3 linked regions of the Danio rerio genome follow. The main gene of each other region encodes a partner of the protein of the gene in region 2 in a complex. Links are inferred from orthologs where the notes say so. Each region holds a gene or a part of one and is shown on either strand. Other genes may lie near its edges.

Region 1 (4,132 bases), on a different chromosome or scaffold from region 2:
TCATATTTGAGATAAGTTTAGGTTTATGCACATGGAACAGAAATCTGCCATGTCAAGTTTGTATATTTGTGAGATTTGTACCATTCGGCCAAGATCAAGGCCTTCTCCTGAGCCACACCACAAGAATACAAAAGAGCGAATGGATGAGATTTCCTCTATGTTCAGCTTCATGATCTAAAGCACACATGAATACAAAAATAAGTTATTATATATGTTAGGACATCTTACATTATTATATTATATGAGCATAAAATATATAATAACTGTTATCTAAATGGATAGTTCATCTAAAAATGAAAATTCTCACCATTTAGTCAGACTCAAATGGTTGTAAATTGTTATCAATGTCTTTCTTCTGTTGAACATAAAACTAGATAATCTGAAGAATGTTGGAAAATGCAGCCACTTACATCCATATTAGGAACAACAAAAACAACTAAAACAAACAAACAAAAAAACTATGAAAGTCAACGGCTGTTTTCCCCCAGCATTCCTCACTATATCTGCTTTTGTGTTTAACAGAAGAAATGAACTCAAACAGCTTTGGGACAAGTGGGGATGATAGAATTTTCATTTTTGAGTGTAGTCAAGTATATCTCTAATGTGTATTATAATACATAATTGAAATCAATTTTAAAAACATTCTCATGAGGTTGATTTTGAGAATTTGCAGTAACTCACATCGTCCCAGTTCCAAAAGCGCTCATTGGCAATGATGCCTGACTCTCTGTAATATTCCTCTAATGGAGGCTCTATCAGAATCACATCAAACTTGCACTTCAACTCTCTCAGATCAAACGTGTCTGGATCTGCCTGGAGATACCTGAAACGCACACAAACGCAAGAGTTATTACATTCATAAAAGCATTGAAAAAGACCCAATTGTCCCATAGTTAAATGCTTCTAATTATTATAAAAAATAACTGATTTTATTTGCTTAGCAACCTCAAAATCACTTTTGTTTTTAGTACGTTCAAATAAAATTCTAGAATCTAAATAAAACCCAGTGTTTTATACACAAATGTGAATAATTTTCAGGTTTCAAAAACTGCAAATGGGCACCACTGGCCGGTATGGGCCCTATGACATAGACTGAGACCAAGTTTTCTTACATGGGGGGAGTGTTGGTGGCAGAGATGAGTTCATCTTTCAGTCGAATGAGCTCTCTTTGTTTGGGGTATTCCTCAAACCTGTCAGCCAAACCTACAGCACATGAGAACACACAGGTTAACACACTCTCAAAGTGGAAAACTAAAAAGAAAAAGTAGAAAAACACTTTACCTCCATCTCGGATAAAGTTCTGAGGTCTATGACCTGTGTCCACAAAGTGCTGGCAATAATCATTGTGAGGATTTAAACTCTGAGTGCCCTGTGAAACAAGTAATGATATAATAAAAACATTACTTATGTTATTTTAGTAATATTTAGAGTGACTTTGCATAGACATAAACTATGCAACTGAAAAAGGAACCAGAAGAAATAAATCCCCTATGACATCTTATACTGATACATAATACAAAGGAATACAAAGGAAAGAATGCAGAAAGCAGAAAAAGCCAACAGGTAAATGAGACTATCTCTAGCTTTCTGTATGTATATACTGTATGTAACACTTGTTTCCCAAAAAAGCTCCAATAACTAAAACTGTTCCTAGTCCTTGCATTACAAACATGTCAAAAGCGAGAATTTCCTACATTAGTTCTAAGAACTATGAAACATACCTTAATTGCAAAACCCAATGCAGTTTACGTTTACTGTAAGGGACAGTTTTTCTGATGGAATGAAAGAATTTAAAGATCGTACTTTTCAAAAATTACCATGTTTTTGCCTTTAATGACAGTATATAGTGGTAACCGTTTTGTGAATATATGTCTGAGTATCCTCACAAAAATATCATAGCTTCTCATACCCGATTGCTCAATTAAATCATATACAATTGTGTTTAAAGATACCTTTAGAAATGTGCTGGAGTCCTTGTACACCTCTTCATATGGTCCACTCTCTTCCTGATGTTGAGGCTCAACATCTTCCTACACCATACAGCAGATTCAAAATCAGTTACACATAGCTCTGACCTGATCAAATGTAAGGGCTTTTCTGAATTAACAGCCGATTCCTGATCAGCGCTCTCTCACCTTTTGCTCTTCCACATCTTCCTCTGGATCTTCACCCTCATTCAGACACTTCCTTTTAGCACCAGGAACTGATATGTCAAATGATGCCCTACAGTAAACAAACCAAATGGTAACTGACCTCAGCATCGTTCTGATTAATACTAACTTACAAGTAGCAGCATCACATACCCGTGCTGAATGTAAAGGTTGTCCTATCAGTACAGTTTTAGCTCTTTTGGGGTATATAGGTCTTAGTGTTCTTTATTTTTTAGTGCTGCACATAGTCCTTGAATTTAACAAATGGTTTATACCTGCAGGTCTCTCTAGTCTCTTCAATCTCTTTTTGTTCATCTTTACTGTTGAGAACTGCGCCGATGCTGTCGGGACTCTCTGCTCCGAGCTGTAAAACAAATCATTAATGTCATAAAACATTCGCAATGCTTCTACGTTCATTGGCGTTAGTAATATAACACCGCGTTAATATGGCAGTGTTTGCTAAAACTGGCTTTCTGCAGGAAGAAATAAAGTTGTGTATTCGTACCTGTTGTGCGAGAAGCTGACGTCTGAGCTTCTGCCTTTCCCGTATTTCTTGCAAGCGGCTGTTCATGTCGAAAATGTTTTGCAGGAAAATAGCTAATCGTGAAATGATCAGATGACAACAATAGTGCGGCAAAAATCCATTGAAACCCTCAACGTGAGAAACCGTCGCATGTATTTTACATCATCACAATGCTTGACGCATACGGTGACGTCAGTAGACGGCCTCTTACTTTTATTTGGAGTAAAAACAACTAGCGTAAACAAAATGTAATAATGATTATCTTTGAATGATTTGACTGTCAGTGTTCCTTCAGCCATTAGTTTTTGGAGATCACAATTTCAAGACGTAAACTCGAACCAGACTTTTAAGATCTCCAGACGTTTTTGTATAACTGAAAAATTAGAGAGGTAACTTAATATTTAAAATTGTTAATCGTTTTTATCATGTAAAACAGGTAATTGCACAATTTTGTAAAGGTGTTGACTTAAAATGTGTTTTCTGTAACGATTAAGAAGAGAGTATTGTTCATTTATTTTGATTGTATTTATACACTATTGTTTTGGTGTGATCTTTTTTTTTTTTGCGGAGTACGAGTATTGCATTGGAATTAAAAGAAATGATGTTTATTATGAGAATACAGCCGGCTTCAAAATTTGGTATAGTGTTTGCTCATTATATGTGGAATTTGTTTTATTCGTAAATGTAAATGGGCTGTGAAAAAAACCTAATTTTACTCATTTTAAAATAGAAATAGATCATGTACGATATAAAAACAAAAAATACTAAAACAAAAAGCAATGTTAATTATTTTAAAGCCTTAAATTTAGACTTTGAATAATTGTATTTTTTCTTTTCTTTTAATATTGTATTTGTTTTGATCTATCCTTGCTGACTGAAAGTAACTGAAACCGATTTTAAAAATATATTTTTAAATTAGCTATTATTCTATAATTAATAATGTTTATAATTTCATAAATGAAAAGCATTGATTCTGGTTGCATTTTACTGACACAAGAGGGCAGAAGTGAACTTTTGGCTGTTTGTCATTGTGATTAGTTCTGAAAGCTTGAGCCGAAATTTGTACACCGTGTTGTCTCGGAGAGACCAACAGTGATGACCAGACCAGACTAGACGCCAAATTACTGATATAACGTGGCAGACTCTCGTTTAAGTTCACTCTGTGGGAAGATCGGCGCGCGCAGCTCGGGCGCTATCGTGGAATGATTTATTTAGCAATTACTATTTGCCTCGTAGATTCTTTTTCTATTGTTCTGCAACTTGTCACTATTAAATGAAGGACACTATTGATTTTTACCATCAACTGTTCTCTTTTTAAACTTGAAATCCAGACTGGGCGACGATCATCAATATGCATGAGTCATAAGCTCCGGGCTTCCCCGGTTTCTCTTTTATTGATCCGCGTCTGCTGCTCTGATAACAGCCAAACGACAAGATGAGAAAACTCGGGTACCATGTC
Region 2 (4,060 bases):
ATTTAAAAAAACAAAACATTAAACTTCATTTTAGTGGTCCTCTATAGACATTCTGTTGAAAAAAATTAGCAGTACTACTTTACTATCAGTAAACTGTTAGGTTGCTATTAGTACTAGCAGATAAGAAGTTCACACACTTACAAAGTTACTGATTGTCAGTCGAATTTGTGGTCTTGAACCATCATTAAACTGTTAGCAGCAGATATTATGGGGACAGTCTATTGATGCTGTAGTGTAGTGACTGCTAGTTAACTTGTAATTAGAAACAAATGTCGAAAAAGACCCATCAATAAAGTGTAGCTAAGTTTATATAGACACTCATAGGCCTGTCATGATATCTATTTTTTTATTGTACATAATATTGCACCAAAATATATTGCGATAAACAAAATTACTGTCATTTTAGGACCATTTTATGTCATTCATTATATGCCAGAATGTACACTCCTCCAAAGACCACATCATATTTTACTCTTAAGAATATTTCATATAAGTACAGTAATTTTAACAGTTTAATAATTAGGCACTGGAATCAGAATGTGAATAAACAAAATAAATAATAATAAATGTTGAGAAAAAAAGTGCAAGGTAAAAAGTAACAGAGGCTGCAATATCGACTACCAGATCTATTTTGTTGTCAGACACTCCCATGAAAATATACCATAGTCATTTATATTAAATACTATAATGTTTTTTAACCATACCGACACTGACACCTCCAATAGAGACAGATACATTGCACAATCAGATGAAATGTTGCTAGAATTGGTTTCTATGTATGGGTGATATATATTGCCTCACCAAAAATGATTGTGGTGATGTCGACATGTTGTTTGATAAGATGATATATTGATTATCGTGAAAGCATAAGTTACTCAATTATCTTATGTTAAGTTCATTTTGCTTAATCTTTCTCTGAATATAATTAATAAATGCAGGTTTTTGCTTGGCTAAAAACGTTTAGCAATCAGATGTGATCACACAAACTACAACTATATCAAAAACATACTGAAAAAAAACCCATAAAAAAAAAAACAGTCATAGAAACAATGAACAAAACATTCAAGCAACAACAGCAAAAAAATATTTACACACAAAAAATGTGAGACTATAAAAGACAGGCCAAAAATCTTTTTATATACAGTTTAATGCTAAACTATTAGCTCTCATGAGAAATTTTTATTCTTTTTCAAATATTTCCCAAATGATATTAAACGAAGCAAGGACGTTTTCACAGAATTTTCTTTTTTGGGGGAAAACACTTTTTTTTGTTGGCTTTAATAAAAGCAGCTCTTTAAAGTAATTTTTAAGGCCAATATTATTAACCCCCAAACAAGAAATACAGAACTAACCAGTCCACCATTAAGGTGAAGTTGGTTTTTCACACATTCGCACTTTCTCCTTAATATTTATTTTATTTGTTATTTTTAATTTGTTCACAGTCAATTAAATAGTGCTGATGGTCTGTCGAAGTCATACTTGCATGTGATTTCAGACCGTATATTCAAAGTACCGTGGTAAACAATAAAGGGTGCGTGTTACTGAACAAATGTGAGAATAAAAAAACAACTTTAGCTCAATCTGTCTACTGACTTGTCTGTTTAGCCTAAAAACCTAGTCAAGCCACTAACTTGCACATTAAGCTGAAAACTAGTATCTTGGAAAATATTGCCTTCATGGCAAAGACAAAAGAAATTAGCAATTATAAACTAGTAAGTTAATTAAAACTATTATTTAAACACTACTATATTTGAAAATGAAACATTTGAAAATGTAATTAAAATTCAAAGGAAGAATAATAATGTTGACTGTTTATACAAAAAAAAACGTAATATGACCAACAAAGTTATACATTAAACACAATGGTTTGTAATTTCTATTTGGCCCAACTCCAAACACACAGAGGTAAAGGTTTCATATTCGCACATTCGTTCATTTAACGGTCCGTTTACCATGCTAATTTAAATATTGGATGTAAAATCGCATTTAAATGACGTCAAAACATCAGCACTATTTAACTGACTGTAAACAGTGTCGTACTTTGATAGTCATTGACTGCTATTATGATTTCCCGATTAAGAGTTTGCAAATAATACTTTTCAGATATGATATTATTAAGAAGAAAGTCCGAATATGCAAATATAAAACCAACTTTACCAAAAAAATTCCAAACACTTTTCCCCCAGGCTCTGTGAATTTCTTCTATACAGACTGACCATTTTGTTTACAAACACAAGCGCTCCTGTCAGATAATCAAGCTCATGAGAACCGGAGAGGTTACTAAACAAGCACCGCTACCCTATGTTCACAAAAACACGTTATTGTAAAGAAAATCAAATCTTTGGTTTGTCACAGTAACCTAATGTTACATACTGCTTGTTTATAGCCACGTTGTTTATAGTCTGCTTGCACCGAGAAACAACTTAAACCTTATGTCTTCACATTAGACATGTTCAGCCATAGCACAGCTCACATAAATGTTTTGGAGGAGAATACAGAGTTATTATGAAATCACGAGCTGTATTGTTGCCTTGAATGTAGAGGATATGTATAAATTGCTGTGGTTAGGTTGATTAGCAAGCTAACTGCTTACAGCGCCCTGTGCGTTACTAGAATGGAAACTTTAAGAACGCGCGAAAATATTTTAACGTGTGTAAAAGTTTATGGCCTCTGCAAAATCCTGTTGAAAGTCACGAGTGAAGATAGGAAACGCTGCATGTTTAACGTTACCTCTGCATTTTGATGCTTGAACGTATCTAAAAAGAGCAGCTCCATTGCAGAATCCCCCGCCATCTTTCTTGATCACATTAGAACTTCCGGTGAGCGATATACTTCCGGGGTTGAAGGCGTACGTCAAGGTTTTTTATTTTTTATTTTTTTATTAAGCCCATAAACAGTGTATACAATTAATACATACAACAACAAATAGGCAGAACAATTATCTTTAACAATGAAGAAAAATAACGGCACAAAACAAACAAATAAAAAGAAGAAACAGCTAAGACAGGGGGTATATAAAAAGTACATACTGAAAAAGCAAAATGTACTCATCAAACATTGGGAAAGAGCCGCAGACAGTTTAAGTTTTTAGAGCCTTTTTGTTTTGAGACAATTGGATCAGTGAAAGATATTGTTTAAATTCGTTCAGAAAAAGCACAAACATAGGTCTGGAGTAAGAAAATTTTGACTTATGAATGTGAAATTTAGCAAGCAGCAAAATTAAGTTCCCCACATACAACTGTTTACTTTTGTTCATACTCGTAAAAAAGTACATTCATTATAAATTTTATTTCGAATAAAATGTAAAAGATTTTTCCAAAAAAAATGGATAATACCAAAAAAGATGAACTAGTTTCAACGTCAAGATTAGTTTGTGTTAAAATGTTTGTTTGTTTTTTTGGCAGAAAACATAGATATGTTATAGTGATTTGTGTGTATAGCCTAGTTAAAAATATATTATGTTGCTTTTCAAACCAAATCTTTCTTAAACAATTTACTTCAAACAGCTTACTCAATTCACCTGTTCCGCATGTCTTTGGCCTTGTGGGGGAAACTAAAGCACCCGGAGGAAACCCACGCAAACACGGGGAGAACATGCAAACTCCACACAGAAATGCCAGCGACCTTCTTGCTGTAAGGCGATTGTGCTACCCATTACACCCCTATGCTGCCTCATTGTTTTATTCTAATATTTTTTTAATAATTAATGTTAATAAAGGGAAAGTTTATCCAAGAATGAAAATTCTGTCTTAATTTCCTCACCCTTTAATTGTTTTAAAACAGTTTGAGTTTTTATTGTGTTGAGCACAAAAGAAGATTAGAAAAGACGTCTTGAGATTGTTGGAAACTTAACTTCAATGGAGAAAAATAATTCTATCAATAGTTAATAGTTTCAGGTTTTTAATCAAGTCTGAGTAAACGATGACTGATTATTATTATTTTTGGGGTGAACTATTACTCTGATGTGACCGTAGTTCTTGTGACATTGAATAAAAAAGCCTGTAAACCCATAAAATGGTTTACTATATGCTTTTGCTTTTATTACATGGTTTAATACATT
Region 3 (4,281 bases), on a different chromosome or scaffold from region 2:
TCATTCAGAACACAGATAGAACCTTATAATTCCAAGGTGACGAAATATTTTACACAGCGGATCCCTTTTCCAGCTGCAACACATAGCTGGGAAATGTATTATGTTATAGTAAGTAAAAAACAAAGAGGTTCATTATACTTGTAGTAAGTATTCAGATGACCTACTTCTTTTGGTGAGATTCTGCAATGTGCTTCCAAGGGACTATTCCATAAGGCAACATGAGAGGATCTGTGAATGCCAGTGAAGTGACGTAACTGAAGATGTAGGGCACGTGACACTAAAACATGGCTAATCTTGTAGTTCTAGATTGTTCAAACAATACTATGTTCATTATGTAGGGCGTGTTTTCAAAGTATGTAGCCTACTCAAATACTCAAGAAAGTGTTTGATTTTGAATGCAGTTTGTGCATTGTAAAAAATAAATAAATGACACGTTGGCTGTTCAATTTGTCTTCTGGTGAATCAACATTGGATGAATGTGTTTATGTGCATGATAAAGTTTTTAAAATAGTTGTATTTTGTTTTATTATCACTCATTTAAGGTTTTGGACGTTTTTGTATTAAGTTCAAAGCATTGTCCTATAAATATATTCCTATTTTTCTTCATTGAAAAAAATAATAATTTGGGGGTAATTTTTTTTAATTTTGATGGTTGAATTGATAATTGTATAAGTTAAAACTATAATGGTCCCTGAGGGTATGAGTAAAGCATGCAAATTGTAAAACACTAAATTGTTTTAAGATAAATTTTAACTAATTTAAAGGCAATAACATTACTTTTATTTATTTATTTATTTATTTATTTTTTACAATTTAACATAAAAAAAAATTCACAGACATGGGCATATAATCAGAGATCTGCATTGTTTTAGTTAAGAAATTATTTCAGTTATTAGGCTAAAACCAATGGCTAAAACCCATGGAAAATGCTCATCTATAGCTGACCGACATGGTTAAAAGGCTGTTTTTTCACGTCCGTTCACCTCTGTGAAAGGCAAACACCACCATCTGTTGGACATCAAGTGAACAACGAGAATGTTTTAGTTTTTTTTTATTTGGATTACTTACGTTTTATAAAGATTGCACAGTTCATTTAAATTTATAAGAAATAACATGTAGGTGAAACTCAGACTCTTAGCATCTATTAAAGTTAAACACCGTTTAATTTTAAAAATAGCCTATACAAAGCACTCTTTGTAGATTTATCGAGATGATTAATAAATATGGTTTAAGAAGCAAATATAATATTGGCAGTACATGTTCTCAAAGACTATATGTGTGGTTAGTTGAATGTCACCTCTGTGTTTTATAAAGTGGCTATAGTAAACATTTGGCTTTTGAAGCTAAAATGGTGTACAGCGAGACTGGGCGCTGTACTAGTGCTTTAGATTGACAGACGGATCAGCCAATAGCGCTGTCGTTTCTCAGAGATTCAAACCAATCAAAGTCGACGGGCGGGTCATGTTTTAGTCTTGACAAGATGGCGTATGCGGTTGTTTTGCCGCAGGGACACTGAACAATTTATTCAGTTTATCGTGCAAATTCGTTGACGTTGCGGTAGCATTACAGTTAAAAAAGTGTTTTGTTAGGCGCGTGAAGCCAGAGGACATCTAACATGAAAGGTAAAGAGCGGTCGCCGGTGAAAAAACGTTCAAGGGCCTTGGATGATATACGAGACAGGGGAGGAAGCCATCCGACCAGTAAGAAAATGGGGGTTATCTCGAATTCTGGCGGAGGAAGCAACAACGGCAATAGTTCGTCTAAAAGCGACGGGGGCTCTGCACGACGGGGACTGCTTGGAGATAAAAGAGACGGACGGGAATTTGACGGACATGTATCCAGTCGGACTGGTAATAACCACGGTTACACGAGCCCTGTTGCGAGCTCAAGCGGCAAAAATCACGCCTCGAGTCTGTCCTTAGAGGCGGCGCGCACCAACTCGCGCGGGGAGGCGCGCGCACCGCTTCCCACAAACGAAAGTGAGTACAAAACTTTAAAAATCAGCGAGCTTGGCTCGCAGCTGAGTGACGAGGAAATCGAGGACGGCCTCTTTCATGAATTCAAAAAATTTGGTGACGTGAGCGTCAAAATCAGCCGAGTGAACGACGAGAGAATCGCATTCGTCAACTTTAGGAGACCGGATGATGCCAGGGCGGCAAAGCACGCACGAGGCCGGCTGGTGCTCTACGACCGTCCTTTAAAAATCGAGGCAGTTTACTTGAACAGGCGGAGGAGTCGCTCTCCGGTGAAGGAGGATCATTTCTCTGTTGTTGCAGGCCATAGACATTTGCATACTCAGAGGCCGCTCTCTCCAACCGGCCTGGGCTACAGGGACTACCGGTTACAGCAGTTAGCACTGGGTCGGCTTCCTCCTCCCCCACCCCCGCCTCTGCCCAGAGAGCTGGAAAGAGAAAGAGAGTTTGCCTTTTATGAAGCGAGGGCGCGGCCCGCATACATAGCAGAGCGAGCCGCTCCTTTCCGTGAGGAGGACTTTATCTCTCCAGAGGACGACCAGAGAGCCAACCGCACACTGTTTTTGGGTAACTTGGATATTACTGTGACTGAAAACGATTTGAGGAGGGCTTTTGAACGATTTGGGACAATCACTGAGGTGGACATTAAAAGACCCACTCGTGGCCAGAGCAGCACCTATGGCTTCCTTAAATTTGAGAATTTGGACATGGCTCACAGAGCTAAAATTAGCATGTCTGGGAAAGTTGTGGGCCGAAACCCCATAAAAATTGGATATGGTAAAGCCACCCCAACCACAAGACTATGGGTGGGTGGTCTTGGCCCTTGGGTGCCTCTGACTGCATTAGCCCGGGAATTTGACCGCTTTGGAACTATTAGGACTATAGACTACAGAAAAGGGGACACCTGGGCTTATATTCAGTATGAAAGCCTGGACGCTGCTCAGGCAGCCTGCACACACATGCGTGGATTTCCTCTTGGTGGTCCTGACAGGAGGCTGAGGGTGGACTTTGCTGACACAGAGCATCGCTACCAACAACAGTTCTTGCAGCCCCTCCCCCTGCAACATTATGAAATCATGGCTGAGTCTTTCGTTCATCGTGCCACCCCTGAAGCCATCAGGGTCAGAGAACGGACTCCTCCGCCACTGCACTTCAGAGAAAGAGAACTCTATGCTGGGGCTGAGTGGCCAGCACCTACTATTCGTGAACGTGTACGAACTCCTGCATTTGAGCCCCTTGAACACTTAGAGCGTGAACGACGGCGAGAGGCCTGGTCACTGGAGCGAGAGCTGCCAGGCAGAGAAGCTGCACGAAAACGGCGGCTCATGGAGGACGGCAGACATCTGGAGTGTTCGCCTGACAGCAGCAGTGAGTGGGCGGCCCGCCGTCGCAGACCCCCGTCGCTTGAGGGCAGCCCAGGCGGCAGCAGCCGAGACGGACGTTTCAGTGACTCTGAGCGTCCAGCGAGAGCAGACCGGGTGTCCCCAGCACGAGAGAGCCGCAGCAGCCTGGACCGAGTTCCCGGTGAGAAACGCATCAAAAGCAACAGCAACCTCTCTGAGTCCAGCATCGGCGCAAGCCCTGCAGAACGAAAGCGCAAAGCGGGCGATTCAGCTAAAGGTGCATCCAAGAGGGACAGATCCGAAAGCAGCTCCAAAAGCAACCAAGCTTCAAAACAGGACGCAGGGGGGAAGCTGAGCATGGCCTGGAATGGCATGCTGCTCCTCAAGAACAGTAACTTCCCAGCCAGCATGCACCTCCTGGAGGGGGACCTGAGCGTCGCCACCAGCCTTCTCATCGACGGCAGCACGGGTGGAAAAGTCTCTCAGCTGCGCATCACACAACGGCTTCGTCTAGACCAGCCCAAGATCGACGAGGTGTCTCGGCGCATCAAAGTGGCAGGCCCAGGAGGCTACGCAGTTCTACTGGCAGTTCCAGGCAGCTCTGAGGAGACTTCATCATCAGACCCAGCAGCATCCACGCAGAGGCCTCTCCGCAACCTGGTTTCATACCTGAAGCAAAAGCAGGCCGCCGGGGTCATCAGTTTGCCCGTCGGCGGCAGTAGAGATAAGGACAACACTGGCGTCCTGCACGCATTTCCACCATGTGATTTCTCTCAGCAGTTCTTAGATTCTTCTGCGAAAGCTCTTGCCAAAACAGAAGAGGACTTCCTGGTCATGATCGTTGTGCGAGGAGCATCTTAACAGTCATAATACACACTAAAGTATTGTTAAATGCAAGCTTCTCTTAATGTCTCTTAATTGCATGCTCTCTAAAGCAGAAGTGGTACTAGAGTAAAGGGCAGCTG

Evidence for each region. Proteins that work in one complex are often made in the same cells at the same time.
Region 1: virma (region 2) and mettl14 share a complex: the UniProt entries of both Homo sapiens proteins name them as parts of the WMM complex. The link is inferred for Danio rerio from reciprocal best matches to the Homo sapiens genes VIRMA and METTL14.
Region 3: virma (region 2) and rbm15 share a complex: the UniProt entries of both Homo sapiens proteins name them as parts of the WMM complex. The link is inferred for Danio rerio from reciprocal best matches to the Homo sapiens genes VIRMA and RBM15.

Annotation. Positions count from the first base shown.
Region 1 is NC_133176.1:21,570,408-21,574,539, forward strand, and holds the start of mettl14 (N(6)-adenosine-methyltransferase non-catalytic subunit METTL14), read right to left. Parts: upstream 2,814-4,132; 5' UTR 2,722-2,813; coding exon 2,656-2,721; intron 2,515-2,655; coding exon 2,426-2,514; intron 2,224-2,425; coding exon 2,136-2,223; intron 2,031-2,135; coding exon 1,953-2,030; intron 1,370-1,952; coding exon 1,282-1,369; intron 1,204-1,281; coding exon 1,113-1,203; intron 824-1,112; coding exon 682-823; intron 175-681; coding exon 82-174; intron 1-81. UniProt on the Homo sapiens protein: The METTL3-METTL14 heterodimer forms a N6-methyltransferase complex that methylates adenosine residues at the N(6) position of some mRNAs and regulates the circadian clock, differentiation of embryonic stem cells and cortical neurogenesis.
Region 2 is NC_133191.1:29,802,310-29,806,369, reverse strand, and holds the start of virma (protein virilizer homolog), read right to left. Parts: upstream 2,819-4,060; 5' UTR 2,794-2,818; coding exon 2,731-2,793; intron 1-2,730. UniProt on the Homo sapiens protein: Associated component of the WMM complex, a complex that mediates N6-methyladenosine (m6A) methylation of RNAs, a modification that plays a role in the efficiency of mRNA splicing and RNA processing.
Region 3 is NC_133183.1:26,684,715-26,688,995, reverse strand, and holds the start of rbm15 (RNA-binding protein 15), read left to right. Parts: upstream 1-1,468; 5' UTR 1,469-1,615; coding exon 1,616-4,177; 3' UTR 4,178-4,281. UniProt on the Homo sapiens protein: RNA-binding protein that acts as a key regulator of N6-methyladenosine (m6A) methylation of RNAs, thereby regulating different processes, such as hematopoietic cell homeostasis, alternative splicing of mRNAs and X chromosome inactivation mediated by Xist RNA.